Linked DNA regions of Nothobranchius furzeri. The protein of the gene in region 3 purifies or fractionates together with the protein of the main gene of each other region. This does not show direct contact. Links are inferred from orthologs where the notes say so. Each region holds a gene or a part of one and is shown on either strand. Other genes may lie near its edges.

Evidence for each region.
Region 1: the proteins of AP-2 complex subunit mu-A (region 3) and necap2 purify together in Homo sapiens (affinity purification with mass spectrometry; 4 studies listed by BioGRID and IntAct, counting the BioPlex papers as one, with this or other methods). This does not show direct contact. The link is inferred for Nothobranchius furzeri from reciprocal best matches to the Homo sapiens genes AP2M1 and NECAP2.
Region 2: the proteins of AP-2 complex subunit mu-A (region 3) and numb purify together in Homo sapiens (affinity purification with mass spectrometry; 3 studies listed by BioGRID and IntAct, counting the BioPlex papers as one, with this or other methods). This does not show direct contact. The link is inferred for Nothobranchius furzeri from reciprocal best matches to the Homo sapiens genes AP2M1 and NUMB.

What each region holds. Positions count from the first base shown.
Region 1 is NC_091743.1:46,249,511-46,255,692, forward strand, and holds the start of necap2 (adaptin ear-binding coat-associated protein 2), read left to right. Parts: upstream 1-3,003; 5' UTR 3,004-3,097; coding exon 3,098-3,192; intron 3,193-3,949; coding exon 3,950-4,050; intron 4,051-6,182. UniProt on the Homo sapiens protein: Involved in endocytosis.
Region 2 is NC_091758.1:16,880,167-16,886,248, forward strand, and holds part of numb (protein numb homolog), read right to left. Parts: intron 5,453-6,082; exon of another isoform or gene 5,075-5,452; coding exon of another isoform or gene 4,988-5,074; intron 3,829-4,987; coding exon 3,796-3,828; intron 3,188-3,795; coding exon 3,113-3,187; intron 2,473-3,112; coding exon 2,332-2,472; intron 2,191-2,331; coding exon 1,986-2,190; intron 1,054-1,985; coding exon 757-1,053; intron 1-756. UniProt on the Homo sapiens protein: Regulates clathrin-mediated receptor endocytosis. Plays a role in the process of neurogenesis.
Region 3 is NC_091751.1:56,901,030-56,906,583, forward strand, and holds the end of AP-2 complex subunit mu-A, read left to right. Parts: coding exon 1-233; intron 234-434; coding exon 435-517; intron 518-938; coding exon 939-1,074; intron 1,075-1,385; coding exon 1,386-1,530; intron 1,531-2,054; coding exon 2,055-2,174; intron 2,175-2,359; coding exon 2,360-2,495; intron 2,496-2,580; coding exon 2,581-2,678; intron 2,679-2,791; coding exon 2,792-2,903; intron 2,904-3,264; coding exon 3,265-3,399; 3' UTR 3,400-4,260; downstream 4,261-5,554.

The DNA.
Region 1 (6,182 bases), on a different chromosome or scaffold from region 3:
CTTTGCCTTCTTTTGAGAGGCTGGCAGAGATCTAAGATTTGAAACCTCTCCTGCCGCCAGCATAACCAGGCTTGGGTTGCACCCCTCCACACACACACTGTGAAACTGCGATGTACCGTGATGTGCTCTGAGTCTGGTCAGCTGCACCCCCCCCCCCCCCCCCCCCACCAGGTGTCTGTCTCTTCAGGGAGAAGAGAGAGAACTTGTTAATCTGTGGGAAATCCTCCCAGATGTGCAAGAAGAAGAGCCTTTCATCCCACTAAAGGAGCAAAGGTCACAGCTCGGTGTCCAAGAGGAAGGTGGCCATAGTTTGTGCTCAGAAAAAGTTATTACAGTGCCAAGAACTGACTTCATGTTTAGCAGACTGAGTGTGAAGTGATGGCAAGTCATGTCGATCGGACCTTTTCTGCAAACGTGCACAGCGCTGAATCAATGTGCAAATGAAGGCTGTGTCTCAGCAGAACGCTGCTCGGCCCTCAGGCCCACACTCAGCACCGGTAGCCCGGCTGGTACGCAGCCTCTGGCCCAAAGCTTTGATCCCAGTGGCAGGATCACTAAAAGTTTTTACAAGCAATAACAATGAAATGACTTCCTGGATTTCTTTTTTCTTTGTCTTGTTTTAAGCTGTTAACGTTGTCCATTTGTGTGTTTTTCTTTTTGCCTGGTGACCGTTGATGTAAATCAGGAGGATAGTAAAGTTCAGAAAAGTAGGGAGACTTTGTTTGTAGTGCTTAATTTATTTTCATACACTTGACGAAAGTCGGTAACTAAGAATCAAAACTTGTGGTTTTCATATCGGTTTAAAATCAGAGTTTGATCTCGTCTCGAGTCAGATTCGTGTTTACGCAGCAGCACATTAATAATAGTCTTATATCATGCTTATAACTCACACAGACAGGGTTACGTCAAGCCCGCTGTGGGGAAAACGCATCTGATGCTACGTTTTAGCAAATATTTTGCCAGTGTTGAGGAAGAAATGGCAAAAACTGGTCAAAACCTGCTTTTTAAACAGTGACCTTTGAAATACAGCCTGAACCTCTCTTCCTGGGTCTGAATGTCTTCCTGTGGTGTTTTACCCACGGCAGAATTTTACTAAATGTTTGCTCGTTTTCCACAGAATCAGAAGAAGAGCTTATAAAGTGTAAAAATAAGTCAAGTCTTTTTGAATTCTTAGACATTTATGCCTTAAATGATAAATGAACCCTGCTTGCTAACAAACAAAAACCTTGTTTCTATGGTTGATCTGTGAAGCTTCTGATGGGCTTCTGGAGGAACTACCGTAATTTCCGGACTATAGAGTGCACTTCAATATAAGCCGCACCAACAAAAAAAAAAAAAAAAAAAGCTTTTCTACACACACACACGCCGCACTCAAATACAAGCCGCGGCGCAGCAGCCACATGCAGGTCTCCGGCGCATAGCGCATGTACGGCCATTACATAAGATAATTAGACAGAAAGACGCCACACGGAGTTTTTTCGTTGTTGTTTTAATTCAACAAAACACATTTTAAACACGGGTGAATGTGCCTGCAAGTTTAGAAATGAAAACAGCACTGATAGCATTCATATTTCTGGATGGTTATAAGATAAAAACAGCACTGACACGTTATTACCGGTAATTTGCATGTTCAGAAGGAAAGAACAGCGCTGACACAGCATTAATAAGCCCTGGATGATTAGAAAATAAAAACTGCACACAAAACATGCCTGTTAGTAAATAAAACACACTTGCCTACCAGAAAAAGTCATTAGCTCTCATCTTCCTCTTGCGCACTAAAGCCATTAAAGTCCTCTTCTTCAGTGTCGGAGATGAACAGCCTCAGAAGAGCTTCGTCACAGACCTTTTCTGTGGCGATGTCAGTGTCTCTGTCCGTGTTGCTGTCATCATCCCCGGGTGAAGCCGGCTTGAATGAGTTCTTCCCGCTGCCGTCTCCAGCGCCGAGCCATGGATTCATTCATGCCAAGCTTACGTGCGGCAGCGCTGTTTCCCTCCTTTACTGCCAGATCGATGGCCTTCAACTTAAATGCGGCATCATATGAACTCATACGTGTAGTTACCATGATGAGGGGGTATGGATTTGAAAAAGATTCTTCGTCGTGCCGGCTGCTTGCATGTGCTAATTTAAAATGAGCACTTTCTTCGATTTCCACTTTTGACTTCCACCTGTTTCACTTTCTGCGAAAGCGCCCCCTGGCAGGTGAAGGAAAATCTTCAGTAAAGCCGCACCTCATTATAAACCGCATGGTTCAAAGCGTGGGAAAAAAGGTAGCGGCTTATAGTCTGGAAAATACGGTACTTAATGCTTACAAAGAGCAGAGTTTTTACTCAATTCAATTCCTTCTATGTTTCTTTAAAACCAGTTGCAGACTGAAGGGAAGTAAAATTCCTTTGATGTTTTGAAAGCTAAACTTTTATTAATGGCATGTGTTGGGATCTACTGTAGGAGGAATCTTGGAACAAACTGATTTGGGAGCATCTGGTTTGGATAATTGACTTTAGAGAAGTTTTTTATTAATATACACAGTCTCTTTCAGGTGTTGAAACTTAAGGGATACGTTATGACCTTGTATCAATAAGCAGATACCCAACATGCTATCGGTGTGATCAGATCACAATGCTTTTCTTTCACAGCCAGGTGTCCTGTTTGATGCTCATGTGATGCAATTGTTTTGAAACTTGAAAAACCCTACAGAAAACTGAATACCCTTTAATAAACTCATTTAAACATGATACTTGTAGTTTTTTGTTTGTTTGTTTGTTTTTTATAAAAGATCTGGCAATTATTATTTAAGCTGAACCAACATTAAGCCAGTTTTAAAATAAAATGTCATCTGGACTTCATGTTAGTTTCACGTATAAAGTAATATCGAACATGAATCATATTAATACTGTTTAGTTGTTATTTCGTCTATAATTTGAATATTAATCCCAGGACAAACTCGTGTTTACAGCAGATTGACAGTTACGTCTACAACCTCCGGACACCGGGTGGCGCTGTTTGAAGCTGGCGGCGCGGCGTCAACCACCAAGCAGCTTCAGCACGGGCGTCCATTGAAAGTCGGAAGTTGTTTTTTGGTTTGTGAAACTTGACAAAATGGCAGAGGACAACAGTTATGAGTCGATGCTGTGTGTGAAGCCAGAGGTTCATGTTTACCGGATCCCGCCGCGGGCCTCCAACCGCGGATATCGGTAAGAAAGCTTCTTTCTGGCGAGTCGGAAAAAGTGTTTGTCAGCAGGCTAGTTTAACTGTCATGTTTCCATTATCGGACTAACAAGCTGTCAACCAAACTGGTCTGAAGACACTCGACAGCTACGGACTCTTTTTCTTAGTTCTCACTAAAGGTTCGTATATTGGGAAAGTTTAACAATATCAACTGGCAGCAGCGAGCTAATAGCTAGAAACACCACCATCAGTGTTTTTTGTTTACAAATGTTTTATTTGAGTTAAGAAGAAACATGTTCTTGTTTTAACGGATTGTTTTACATCATTCACTCTGAAACTGGTTATGAGAAAATCCAAATAAATCAAATTCCCTTTCAGTTTTCACTCTGTGTGTAAAATGGTAAACTTCGGTGGATTGATTTTGATCATTGTTTACATTTTAAAACACAAAAGTGTGTGTGTGTGTGTGTGTGTGTGTGTGTGTGTGTGTGTGTGTGTGTGTGTGATTTCAGGTTTTGTTTTGTATTCACATTCTAAACTAACCCCAATAATCTATATTGGTCAGATGGTACTTATACAACTTTTATTATCTTTAAAAACAAGCAACTGGGAGTTTCCCTGTTTGTCTTTTTTCGATCTTTTAGGCAGATTTTAATTTCACTTCCTCATTATGTTGGACAAGTAAAGCTGCTAAAACAAACGCAGAGACAGGAGCTCCTTTAAATGAGGATTTACATGAATGGTTCTCTAATCCGGTGGGTTTTTCCTGCTTCTTTCATCTAGAGCTGCTGACTGGAAACTGGATGAACCTGCGTGGAGCGGTAGGATGAAAATCACAGCCAAAGGAAAGATGGCTTTCATCAAGCTGGAGGACAAAAACACAGGTAAACCTTATCATGAGCCTCACAGCCAAATACCTTAGTTGTGCTGTGAAACAAGTCCTTTTTTGTATGAACTGGTTTCAACACAGCCTGAAACTCTTCTCAGTGATCATGGGTCAAAGGACAGCAGTTATGATCATTCTTTGTTTAGGGATGCACCGATCAGGTTTTTTGCTGCCGATACCGATATCAAAGAATGCTGATCACCGATACCGATCACGTGGATTGGCCAGAAATTTTCTACAACATTATAATGAGTGCTACAAACTACATAATCTGGGAATAAAAGAAATGTAACCTAATCTAAAATGGTCTGTATTAAAGTTGTCACGGTGTGAAAATTTAACCTCACGGTCATTGTGACCAAAATTACCACGGTTTTCGGTATTATCGCGGTATTTTTTTTAACCGTGCTACATTTTCACACAATTAAATAAACCCTGTATGTCAGGAAATATTGTCATCAGTTTGTGTCTAAATTTGCCTAAAATGTGTTATTTTCTAATTATGTTGTTTATTTGTTTACATTTTTCCCTTTAGTCTTTAAAATACCAATATTTGCCCATAACTTCTTATTTTATGTCTGTTTGATGTCATCATTTTAAAAATATTAGATCAGATGATACTCAGTACTCAAGTAGCCTTCTAATCAGATACTTTTTTTTACCCTTAATTGAGTAATAAAGCCTATATCAGGAAAATATCGTCCTCGGTTTGTGTCCTTCCTGTGAGCTTTGCAGGCAGTAATCATTGTTAAATTCATAATTATTCTCGGAGAGAGACCAACTCTTATCTGCCCCTGGGAGCCCCATAATGCATAGCGTCATTTCAACATGGGGGTAGGGATGCACCGATGGATCGGCATTTGATCGTAATCGGCCGATAGCGCCCCTATCGGTTTTGATCGGAATTTTTAAAATAGATCAGAGCAAACCGATCAGGTAGGGTTGTCACGGTAACCAGTGTAGCGCTAAACCCCGGTAAAAGAAAAAAAGAAAAAAAGTTGACAATAATAACCGTCTTGTTTTTAAAAAAATATATTATCTTGGTGGGTTTACCGTGGCTGCGGTGTAGGCGCGGTGACCCTTACCAGCCACCGTATCATCGGCTGAAGTTGCCGGCGGCACATGCACGCTTTGTTTACAACAAAACTTTCTTGAAGCTAAAGCTGAAATAATGGTCAAAGGAGGAGACGGCAGCGCTCAGGAGGACATTTATTATCCCTCAAAGAAGACAAAGTCGGAAGTACAGGCATCTTTTAGATATTTGAAGAATGCCGAGGGAGTTTATGGAAGACGGACGGCTATCCTGTTTGCAGCACGAGCAGAAAAAGTGTCTGTGAAAGGCAGCAACGCTTCAAATCTCATGACACATCTGCGTGACCATCACCCACAACTCTACAGTCAACGCAAGGCAAGTTAACGTTAGCGTTTTAGCTAAAATGCGTGATCCGAGGAATTGGGTTGAGGGAGAAGGCAACGAGTCGCTATATAAAGCAGCCGCAGCGCCGCCACCTGCATATAAACCGTGTTGCGGACACCCCCATGTTGAAATGACTCTATGCATTACGGGGCTCCCAGGGGCAGATAAGAGTTGGTCTCTCTCCGAGAATAATTATGAATTTAACAATGATTACTGCCTGATGACATTTTCCCACATCTGCAAAGCTGACTGGAAGGACACAAACCGAGGACAATATTTTCCTGATATACGGATTACTCAAGTAAGGGTAAAAAAGTATCTGATTAGAAGGCTACTTGAGTACTGAGTATCATCTGATCTAATATTTTTAAAATGATGACATCAAACAGACATAAAATAAGAAGTTATGGGCAAATATTGCTATTTTAAAGACTAAAGGGGGAAAATGTAAACAAATAAACAACTTAATTACAAAATAACACATTTTAGGCAAAATTTACACACAAACTGAGGACAATATTTTCCTGACATACAGGGTTTATTTAATTGTGTGAAAATGTAGCATGTTTAAAAAAAATACCGCGATAATACCGAAAACCGTGGTCATTTTGGTCACAATAACCGCGAGGTTAAATTTTCACACCGTGACAACCCTAACCCCCAAATTCCACTACCTCCGCTCCGCTCCGCTCCGACACGAACGCCGGAGCAAA
Region 2 (6,082 bases), on a different chromosome or scaffold from region 3:
CTGAAAAGCTGTTGGAAATAGCGTCAAAGTCGCCAAGTTGGCAACACTGTGGGAGGAGCGCTTCATTTGCAACTTGGGGCAGCGCAAGTGGGAGAAGCAAATAATCGGCTCGTTTTGTTTTTATAATCATTCAAAACTCAGATCGTAATTGTGTTTAGATTAATTGAGCTGCCCTACGTCACACTGTCACTTAACATTCATGGACTCACCCATATGAACTCACAACGGGGAAGGCTGTTGTTGGTTTAGAGTCCAGGAAACAGCAGAGAACGTCTAGGCTAGTAGAAGCTAACTGTGAGCATTAGCAACTCCACCACAGAGCAGAACTCCTTCAGGCTTGTGTTATTGGTGAAGATAAAACATTAACTTTGCAGAGGAAACAGAGCCAGTGGTAGAGTCGTGTTGCAGTTAGCCAGTCAGAGGAGATATGGCCACATATCAGGAAATAAGACTCCAAATCCTGTCGCGTGAAGCTACTTTCTCCTCCAGCTGAATAATCCGTGTGTGCTTCATTCCTACTAGAGACCACTGCAAATGTGTTGATCTAATGAGTGCTTCACACCTTTAAAATAGGATGAGTCATCAACTGACTGGTTTGTTCAGTTCAGGTCTGAATCGTTCCCAGGACAAAAAACAACCAGCATGGCGTCTGAGTGCTAATGCTGCCAGACTGCTCACATGTCGTAAGGCCAAAGCTCAAACTAAACCAGTGAGAAGTTATTTCTTCCCACAGTCATGACTTTAGTCTTTACTAACCTGTATTTTTCATGGGGAAATCAGACTTGCGCTGCATGGTGGAGGGCAGCTCGTTCATCCGCAGTGACAGCTGTCTTTTAAAAGGCGACGTTTTCTGGCTGAGGGCAGGGAAGCCTCTGAAGGAGCCCTGCCGGGCGAGAGCCTCGACCGGTGCGTGTCTACGGGGTATCACCTGAGGTCCGAGAGCGGTCACTGAGAGAGGCGGGGAGGACGAGGGAGATGGGCAGCTTCCTGGCTGGTGACCAGTGGCGTTTGTCACACTGTTGACCAGGTTTGCGGCCATCATGTCTGTTTCTGCTGTAAAGACAGAAGAGCGAGAATGAGCCTAAGAAATGGATGGATGTCTCTTTAAAAGCTTTGAGTCCATTTTTGTACAAAATCAGCAAAATGAGATGTTTGAAGGGAGCGATTATCTAAATGAAACACACCAGGAGTGACCAGTATAGAAATGTCATCCGGCCCTTTTCTCCCAATTCAAAACTAATTTATTAAAACGTTGTAGTAACACATGGGTAGGGTTTCTCAGTGTCTCTGTTCTAGCTGTAGGCAGGAAGGGTCTTCTTAGTTGCAGCAGATATGAAGAAGCCTCAGACTGAAGACACCCAGTTGCTGAATTACTGTCTTGAGGAGAGGACGATCAGGGTTGTCCATCGTGTTCTGAAGCATCCTCCTTTGTCCATCCACCTCTAGGGGCTCCTGATTTGTTCCCAGAACCGAATGTTTTAATCAGCTTGTTCAGCTTTTTGTAACCACAGGTTCTGACGCAGCTGTCCCAGTATATGACAGCAGAACAGATGACACTCTCCACAACAGACCTTTAGAAGATCTGGAACATCTGGCAGCACACACTGAAGGATCCAGTCTTCTCTGTCCTGTTGTCTGGGGGCAGGAGAGGAAGATGCTGAACTGAATCTAATAAAGAACATGTTCTGTTTGTTGGCTTTGTTCAGACTTCCATCAGTGCGACTTTCCTTCTGCTTGAAGCCAGTAATGTTCTTCATCTTGACCACAGATGTTTCCTGTATCCTGCTTTGGTAAACTTCAATAACTCTCTTGTTCTTGTTCAGCAGTTCCTTCAGGTCAGAGGTGATCCAGGGTTTGTTGTTGGGGAAGACCCTCACGGTTCTAGTGTGGATGATGATGTCCAGGCAGAAGTTTATACAATCAGCCACACACTGATGTCACTTAATCAGTCCAGAAGTTCAAACGTCGGCTTTTTTAATACTGACCCTTTTTAGCATCCTGCAACTGTCTCATGACTTCTTCTCGTTCAGCAGCCTCTGTTGCCGTAGTAATGCGAAATGAGCCCTCCCGAGTGAAAGTGGTTCGGTTTGCATCAAAGGTTGCTGTGACACCACATTCCTTCTCCCGTTTCTGTTTCCGCTCCAGACACGCGGCGAATGCACAACCCACAGCGTGGCTGAGCCTCTCGCCCTGAAACGACACAAGCCTTTCAGACGGCAGTATCGCGACCACAATGTTGCAGATTCAAACAAGGGAACGTTTTCCCGTGTGAGAGCTCATTGAATAAACATAGAATCTAAAGAAAGTCCAACATCCAAGGTGAGTTCTTACCGAGTCTTTAATGGCCATGAAGCAGTGGCAGATCCAGCGCCGCGTGGTGCCGTCCCTGCAGATGTAAGAGAAGGCTCTCTCAAAGTTCCTGTCCGGGGCGCAGAACGACACCTTTTCTATCGTCTGATCCAAAATAAGGTCCTGCAAAGAGGAGTTCCCCTCATTTATGCATCACATTACAAACTCAAGAGGCTTGAGTGTGAGCCGTATAACCGACTCATCTGCAAAGATGGATCTCATGGCGTCACTGTTCAAGATGAAACTCACGATTGCGACCTTCTGAAAGTAAAAGCTTACGTAGTCCCAGTGCAGAGGGGACCTGTATCAAAATTCTTATGATAAAATTGATTTCTAAAAGTTATTTCATCTGAAGTTTTGCTCTTTAGAAAACGAGTAGATTTCTTACACACCTCAGTAAGCTGATATTACAGTTACACTCCATCAGATACATTACCTTACAGATCTTCTATTTGTCTAAACATTAAACTAATGAGCCAGAAAATTAAAGTCAGTAATATCTAAATGTGTACTTGAGACCCTCTCAGCTAACGCCCACCAAACTGAAACATTATCAGGGTTTTCCAGCAGGTGTCAGTGTTCGTCCATGAACAGCTCTGCAGGTGAACTGTGTGTGGCTTGCTATCAGGACTAGTGGAGGTCATTAGACCTGAACTAGAGCAGCTTTTCAATCATTAACATCTGGAGCTGAAGAACTAATGATTTTAGTTTGTGTTTCTGAATATTTATCAGCTTGTTAAAGACGAGTGACGAGATGTTTTACCTTCGTTTTATCATCGACAACGCGAAGCCCGTCTGCCGACACCCACAACACAGCTCGCACGGCCTTCTTCCCAGCCTGCAAACGCACACACAGCAGCAGCTTAAACACAACCTCTTATTTTCCTCTACCCTACTTCATTACTTCCCAGTTCCATCGTACCTATTCATAAAAAGCTCGTCACACACACGCACGCACGCACGCACGCACACACACACACACCTGTAAATGAGAGAGAGTGACTAAAACGAGCTGTTTTCTGAGAGCTGTCACACAAAAGGAGACACATTCTGACAAAGTGAAGAAGGTTGGTGTGAGAATTGGTGCTCTGACGCAAACAGGAAGTGATGATCCCATTGGTTAGAACAAAACAAAACCCAACAATCAAAAGGAAATATTCATTCACACAATGTTCCATTCTTGGTTCATGGCAGCAGGGCTGAAGGGAGAGAAGGCACGCCCGAAAATCCAGACCCAAACACACACTGTGCCCCACCCTGGCTTGCCCCCCCCCCCCCCCCCAGACACATGCACTAGGGTGTCGGTCTCACTTCAGACACATTTCCCCTGTCTGTGTCCATGTGCTTCCTCCAGCAGCCACATGTGATCAAAGTGTGAGGTGTGAGAAGGAAACAATAATTAAAATGCTAAGAGAAACACTAAGACACACAGAACCAAAAACTTACTTTAGTAAAGAATCCTTTGAAGAATTTCCTGTCCTGAAAGTGGATGTGGTAAAAGGGGGGTGGGTGAGAGAGATGGAGGAGATGAGGGGACAAGGGGTATGAGAATGTTACCTAGGAATGGACTGGAGCCCGTTCTGATGGGAAAGGGTTTGGTGAAGCTGGGTTATGAGTGAGCAGTTAGCTTTGTGATTTCTTGAGGTTCCGATGAGTGAGATTTTGGTCATGGTAAACATGTTAGTAGAACCATAAATGAAGAAAATAAACCCTTCCCAGCAGAACCCCCTCCAACTGTAGAACTTTGGTTCTGTTGGATCTGAATGATCAAAGATGGAATTTCCCCAGATTAAGAGTGGACACTGAGCAGCCTGGACAGAGGAGACGTGAAAACACACCTCTGGTTTCTAGAGCAGGATATGATCCTTCCACGGCTGGCTCAATAGACAGAAACAAACGATCGCAGAGGATCAATCTTGTGAGCGTTCACAGATCACCTGGAGTCTGGGGTCATGTTTGGGCAGCTGCAACTTCTTTAAACCAAAAGCAGAAGCAGAACGAACCCAGCACCCCCCCACAGCCACAGTGGAGATGGCACCCAGCGCACCGAGTTATGCATGATTTAGTATGTTAGCCAGAACTGCAGATTCATTCAGGGTGAGCTAAACACTTGTGTGTGTGTGTGTGTGTGTGTGTGTGTGTGTGTGTGTGTGTGTGTGTGTGTGTGTGTGTGTAAACCACAGAGACATGCAGTAATGGAAAGGCGTGCACAGTGTTAGTAAGCTACAGTTAGGGGACGTAGCTCGACAGCGAGATAACTGAATGGGGGGGGGGGTATTTGGAAGCATTTCTCTGCTATTAAACCTGCTTAAAAAAAGACAAAAAGTGTAACACCAACAAAAGATTAAACATTATTCAAGTATTAAATGTGTGAATGGGATGAGACACGTGTTCAACTGAAGATGGAATGAAGACGACGTTTAGATGAGGGAGAAGGACAAGGACCTAAATGAACCTGCGTTTGTTTCTGAGCACTTGAACAGACAAACATCCGCATCGCTGCGAGTGAGAGGCAGCTTCGTTTTACAACACCACAGGATTTGTAACTAGAACACTTTGTGTAACTTCTCTGTACAGTTTGTGAAACTATCCACGGCTGACCAAATCACCCGTAAACTCCAGACAGAACACCGATTACCTTCAGCAGGCTCTGATGTATGAGGCAAACGCCCTTCATCATCTCCAGGTGTGGTGGTCCACCTGACTCACCCAGGAAACAACACATGTCACAATACCACTGAGACCCATACTCGCGCCCACCAACAAGAGGAAGTCACATCATGATGACAGCACAAAACAGCAGCTTGGAGGTTGATGGTGCCGCAGTGCAGCCTCCTTCTCCACCCGCCTCCATCCTCCCTTCTGAGTCATGGGTCGCAGAGCAGCGAGAAAACTCTCATTACTGTCCCAAAGGCTGCTGGGAGTACAGATGCAATTGGCTCGACGCTACAGCTGTCCTCTCGCGCACGCACGCACGCACGCACGCACGCACGCACGCACGCACGCACGCACGCACGCACGCACGCACGCACGCACGCACGCACGCACGCACACACACACACACACACACACACACACACACACACACACACACACACACACACACACACACACACACACACACACACACACACACACACACACACACACACACACACACACACACACACACACACACACACACACACACACACACACACACACACACACACACACACACACACACACACTCTTTCCAGTGCAGCAGCTACAGACTTCTCTCTCTGACTATTCCAGAGGACCCTCATCATCTCAGCTACGGTCTGACTGATGCAGCAGCCACCCTGGTTGCTAACCTGCTCTAATCTCACTAGAAGAAAACAATCATCAGTCCATTCCAGACATCTGGAGCCTGCAAGCTCACGACCAGATCCCAGCACAATTTAGTTATTAGCTCCTGAAAATAGAGTTTACTCACTGTGCTATGAGAACAGTTATGTTCTCCAGTGGTGGGGCCTGCATTTGTTGCCTGGCAACAGTCATCTTATTAAAGAATCGGGGAAGATGAAGTCCATCATAGCCTTGCTAATTGTGTATTAGCTTAAAGGATTTTTCTGGTTAGCTCTGACAATCTGACTTGAACAATGATCTCTGGCATCGGGAGTCTGCTGCCAGTTACAGAGATCATAACGGACTCGAGGGTAAGATTCAAATAATCTGTCACACACACACACACAAACCTTTTCTAAGTCTA
Region 3 (5,554 bases):
GATTCACGCCCGGCAGCAGGTCCGGTCGCCGGTGACCAACATCGCCCGCACCAGCTTCTTCCATGTCAAGCGCTCAAACATATGGTTGGCAGCTGTGACCAAGCAGAATGTCAACGCTGCCATGGTGTTTGAGTTCCTTTACAAGATGTGTGACGTCATGACTGCCTACTTTGGCAAAATCAGCGAGGAGAACATCAAGAACAACTTTGTGCTCATCTACGAGCTGCTGGATGGTAGGAGACGATCCTGGAGTCTATTAGTCATATAATAAACATTTTGTAGGACTGCTGGACTTACACATGTCTGGGTGTAGAAAAAAAGCCTAATGTTCTGTTAGTCAGTCAGCACCGGCTACTCCGTGTACTTCATGTTCTAGTTTTCTCTACACTAGTCTTTTATCGCTAACCGCTATCTACTGGTGTTTGTTTATTCAGAGATCCTGGACTTTGGCTACCCCCAGAACTCAGAGACCGGAGCCCTGAAGACCTTCATCACCCAGCAAGGCATTAAGGGACAAGTAAGTACAGTGTTTGCCCCCGACTGATGTAGAGCTTTCAGTTTGATGTTTTTGTAGAAGATAACCTAGAAAAGTGGTGTTCAGATGAACTAAATTCACTCTAACCTGAAGCGATGAATAGTTTAAAGACAATCTGGTGGTGGAAATGTTTATTTTTGTATCTGATTCTAGTAAACTTTACATGTGGTTAATTTGTATGAATATTAAATGTGTGTTTGTTTGTGTGTGTGTGTGTGTGTGTGTGTGTCATTGTTTCCCTCGTCTGCGGTTTTTGGACCATTCAGCACCAGGTAATGTTGAAAGTTTTGTAAAAAGTCGTGTTTTCATGTGTTTCCACTCTCTGTCATCCTCTGATCATCATCATCCTTGTGTGGAAGTTTTGCTCTTTGTTCCTGATCCAGTTTCTGCTCCTGTTTCTCAGACAAAAGAGGAGCAGTCTCAGATCACCAGCCAGGTGACGGGCCAGATCGGCTGGCGTCGTGAGGGCATCAAGTATCGCCGCAATGAGCTCTTCCTGGATGTACTGGAAAGTGTTAATCTGCTCATGTCACCTCAAGGTCTGTTTATGTCCTCTAAAGACGTCCCTGACTGCTAACATAAAAAGATCCGAGGAAATGTTGACATTCAGAGACGTCTAAATGACTTGCTATCAAGTTTTGCCATGAAGGTCGACTAAAACTAGTTGAAGACTTTTTGATCGTGTTTACTTCTGCAGCTTTAAACAGAGATGGTACTGTAGAATAATTTTAGTATTTCCACAGTTTTAGACCTGAATTAAAAAGTCCTATTGTGCAGAAACGCTGTCTAAATATGGTGGAACCTGTCCCAGCGGTGTCCAGATGTTGATCCTCTCACTCCTTCCATCCAGGCCAGGTCCTGAGCGCCCACGTGTCGGGCCGTGTTGTGATGAAGAGCTACCTGAGCGGAATGCCGGAGTGCAAATTCGGCATGAACGACAAGATCGTCATCGACAAGCAGGGCAAGGGAGGAGCGTCCGACGATGCAGGGAAAAGGTGAGTGATGCGTGAGTGAGGAGGCAGGCGCTTTGGTCAAACGTGCTTTCATAAGGAGGGACATAAATTATGACTTTGCTTTTCTTGTCTAAATAGTTCTGTCCTTGAGCTCCGACTAAGAAATTCTTTTGTCCTTTTGTTTGCTCTCCTTTTGGATGGCTCTCTGTCTTTTATCCTTTCTTTACTTTGTGCTGTACCACAGTGATTTAGGGGGAGGAAGGTACGATAGCAACAAGGTTCCTCTCCCTCCACCGCTTCATTCTCCTCCTGTGTTCTGCCCAGTAACTGTTTCATCATCCCTAACCGTCCTAGTTCACTCTTTACCCATCATCATTTACTGTAGTTTTGTAGTAATAATTTAATCCAGGTTCAAATGTTGTCTTCTAGCAGCCATGTCTTTGTACTTAAGTATACTGGTGGATATCCAGAGAGTAGATTTTATCTGTAGATTGGAAAAGGATAGTTAAAATCCAGACTAGTAACAAGTTAGTTGGTGTGTCTGATGCATCTTCTGTCCTCTTCAGTGGGAAGCAGTCCATAGCCATTGATGACTGCACTTTCCACCAGTGTGTGCGTCTCAGTAAGTTTGATTCTGAGCGCAGCATCAGCTTCATCCCTCCTGATGGAGAGTATGAGCTCATGAGGTCAGTAATGGTAGTAGATTATTAGAGCCTAAAGCATCCATGAATGTCTGCTCTGATAGATCCTGCTGGGTTTTTATTTATTTTTTTATTTTTCCACTCATTCAAAATTTTGGTGGATTGATAATTCCCCCCCCCCCCCCCATTTATTTTTATTAATTTACTTTTTAAATGTATGTATTTTTCAGATATCGCACCACTAAGGACATCATCCTGCCGTTCCGAGTTATTCCTCTGGTCAGGGAGGTGGGTCGCACCAAACTGGAGGTTAAAGTGGTCATCAAGTCCAACTTCAAACCTTCGCTGCTGGCTCAGAAAATTGAGGTCAGCAAACACATTTTTACATTTTTGATGAAATTCTTTAAGTTTTGACTTCACTGGTAAATATCTGGGCTAATTCTCTCCTCAGGTGCGAATTCCAACACCCCTCAACACTAGCGGTGTGCAGGTGATTTGCATGAAGGGAAAAGCCAAATACAAGGCCAGTGAGAACGCCATAGTCTGGAAGTGAGTTGGAGCTTAGATTAAATTTAATTAACAATCTGAACTCGATGTTTAACCTCTCAAGTATTCCTGTGTGGGAATGTTTCCTTTGTGAAGCTACAAGTTTGCATTTGCAGGATCAAGCGGATGGCTGGGATGAAGGAGTCTCAGATCAGTGCTGAGATTGAGCTGCTGCCTACCAACGATAAGAAGAAATGGGCCAGGCCTCCCATCTCTATGAACTTTGAGGTAAGCGCAGCACAGTCCAGTCTGTCCTCCTTTAAGCTGTCACAGCTTAAGAGCTTCCTAATTTCAGTCGGATTCAAAGTGAACTTTTCTCTTCCAGCTGATGTTTCTAAAACTATATTTATTCTGTGAACAGTCACAGACATAGATAATAATAAGTTAGATATTTCCCAGCTTCTCCTGGTGGCTGAGACTGTAATGTGGTGTTGGCAGCCAAACAAATGGACTCTGGGTTAAATCAGATCCCAGTATTTGCTAAGAAACTTAAAAGCCGTTTAGTGTTAAACAAACTCAGAGCTTCGGTGGTGGGTAAACAGAGCAGCCCGCCTGTCCTAACATGTTCCAACTTCCCTCTCCTCTCCAGGTTCCTTTCGCACCCTCTGGCCTGAAGGTGCGCTACTTGAAGGTGTTTGAGTCCAAGCTCAATTACAGTGACCACGACGTCATCAAATGGGTGCGGTACATCGGCCGCTCCGGCATCTACGAAACCCGCTGCTGAAGTTCAGCCCCGCCAGGCAGCAAACTGACCACTTCCCTCCCATCTTTCCTGTCATTTTATTCTTCTTTCCTCCTCCTCCGTCTTTGTTCCTCCCTCTGTCCTTATCACTTTTCTCCTTCCCCATCATCCCTTCTTAACTAGGTGTCGGAGATTGAATTTACATCGTTTAAAAGAAAAACAAGTAAATATGGTGTAATTCAGATATATGCAAAATGTGAACCATTGTATCGTATATATCTAGTAGTGATGAGTAAAAAATGTAAACCATCTGGTGTCCGAATGAAAAAGACAAGTGATGCCGGGTCTCAGGGGGAGAGGGCGGGAGCTTTGTGTATCCAGTGTTATCGTTCTTCTTTTCTCCGATATAGAAATCCCACGTCAGTTAACCCTGGGAAGGGGGTTCGTCACTATTGTGATTTAAAATAAGTCCTGATAGTTTCTATATATAAATATCCTGGTAGAGTTGACCTTTTCAATGAATCGGTATTTGATGCTACATGCTCGTCACTAGAAGGTAAATCATTCCCAGCCGACTGTCGTTCAGAAAGAAATGACGCTGAGCAAGTTGGTTTTGTACTTGGACGTTACTGATCCTTTACCTGTGTTCCTTTTCCCTCCGCTTTCAGAGTTATGCCAGGCAGGTTAGACCTTCATCCTGATTGGCTTATTCTGACTCATTCCCACAAACATTTTATAAGCACTAAGATTAACTTTCACACTATTTTTGGATTTAAAGATCAGTCTGCAGGGTTTGCAGTGAGGTGATGTCTCCCCCTGGTGTTTGCTTCGCCACTGTCTGCTTCATGTGTGTAGCCCTGGTGACCGTTCTGTCCAATAAAATCTATGTAACCAAACATCTTACCCCTCCTTTTCAGCTGTGTTTTTTATAATACTCTGGGGGGGGGGAGTACAGTCATTTTTCTCCATTACTGCTGTCAAAAGAAAATTGAAAGGGCAGAAAAAATTAGATTGGTTAATCAGACCAGAAAAACTGTTAAAAACTGTTAACTTTTTTTATTCTTGGGTCTACATCCAAAATATCAGACAAAAGTAACAATTAAAACTACTTGTGTACATTTCTTTGCCTTCTGCCATTCGAGTTAAGTGGACGTGATTCGTAGCTTAGCACCACAAGCTAGGCTGGATCTCTCCCCTGCAGTTTCTCTTCAACGCTCAAATCTGATTAGCAATGACAGCCAACATTTACACTAATCATTACAATGTCTCGTTTTTGCTTGGATGAAAGACATGCTTAGATCACTGAAGATGGGAAAATCCAGGATATTTGACTAGACAATTCTGTTACTATGATCCTCGTTTGTGCCCATGTTTAAGCTACAGGTGACGCCATCAAACAGCATTAGTTAGTGGAAGTACTGGTTAACCCTCAGATTGCCATCGAAGTGTGCTAGTCATGAGGAACTTTTAAAACCCTCTTTAGGAAGAACATTTGTGTATTTCCAAGATGAATATAAAAACAATACCTGCTGTTTTGATACAAGTTCCTCATAAGCTTAGATCTGAATTGCTCAAAGAAAAATGCAAGTCCAGCCTTGCTTTTGTCAACTCTGCTCAGAGTTCAAATGAGATCACAGGCAAGAAAACTACAAAAATAAGCATTTCTACATGATTTAAGTTATGTTCTCTCACGCCACTGAAAGGCGTCTACTCTGAAACTAGTCTTCCAAAGACTGATTCTTGTCTGCAGACAAGGGCTGAAAGCAAGTTTTTTTTACTATGTGGCATGAAATAAAAACACTCAATCCAGATGTGTCAGATAAAACATCTGGAACATGCGGACTAAAAGAACTTTAGCACATGCAGATCCACGGATACGAGCAGCTCCGACGTGGGCAGGCAGACACACAGGAACAAGCGCACACACACCTTCACTCAGATTACTCTTAGGCAATGAAACCTGGAGTTTTCCTGTTATTTTAGGAGAAAGGTGAGTCCATGTTAGTCTGAAAAATGAGCAGATCATTTGAAGAGTTCTGGATATATTTTTTTTAAACCTGATCCTCAAGATAACAGTGACTGAACTCAAATGACCTCAGATTAAAACTGAAATCAGTGAGCCCTAAAGCTAAGCTCACTGAAGGAAAACTCGTGCGCCATGATGTATAAATACAGCCAGGAATGGAACAGTGTAACG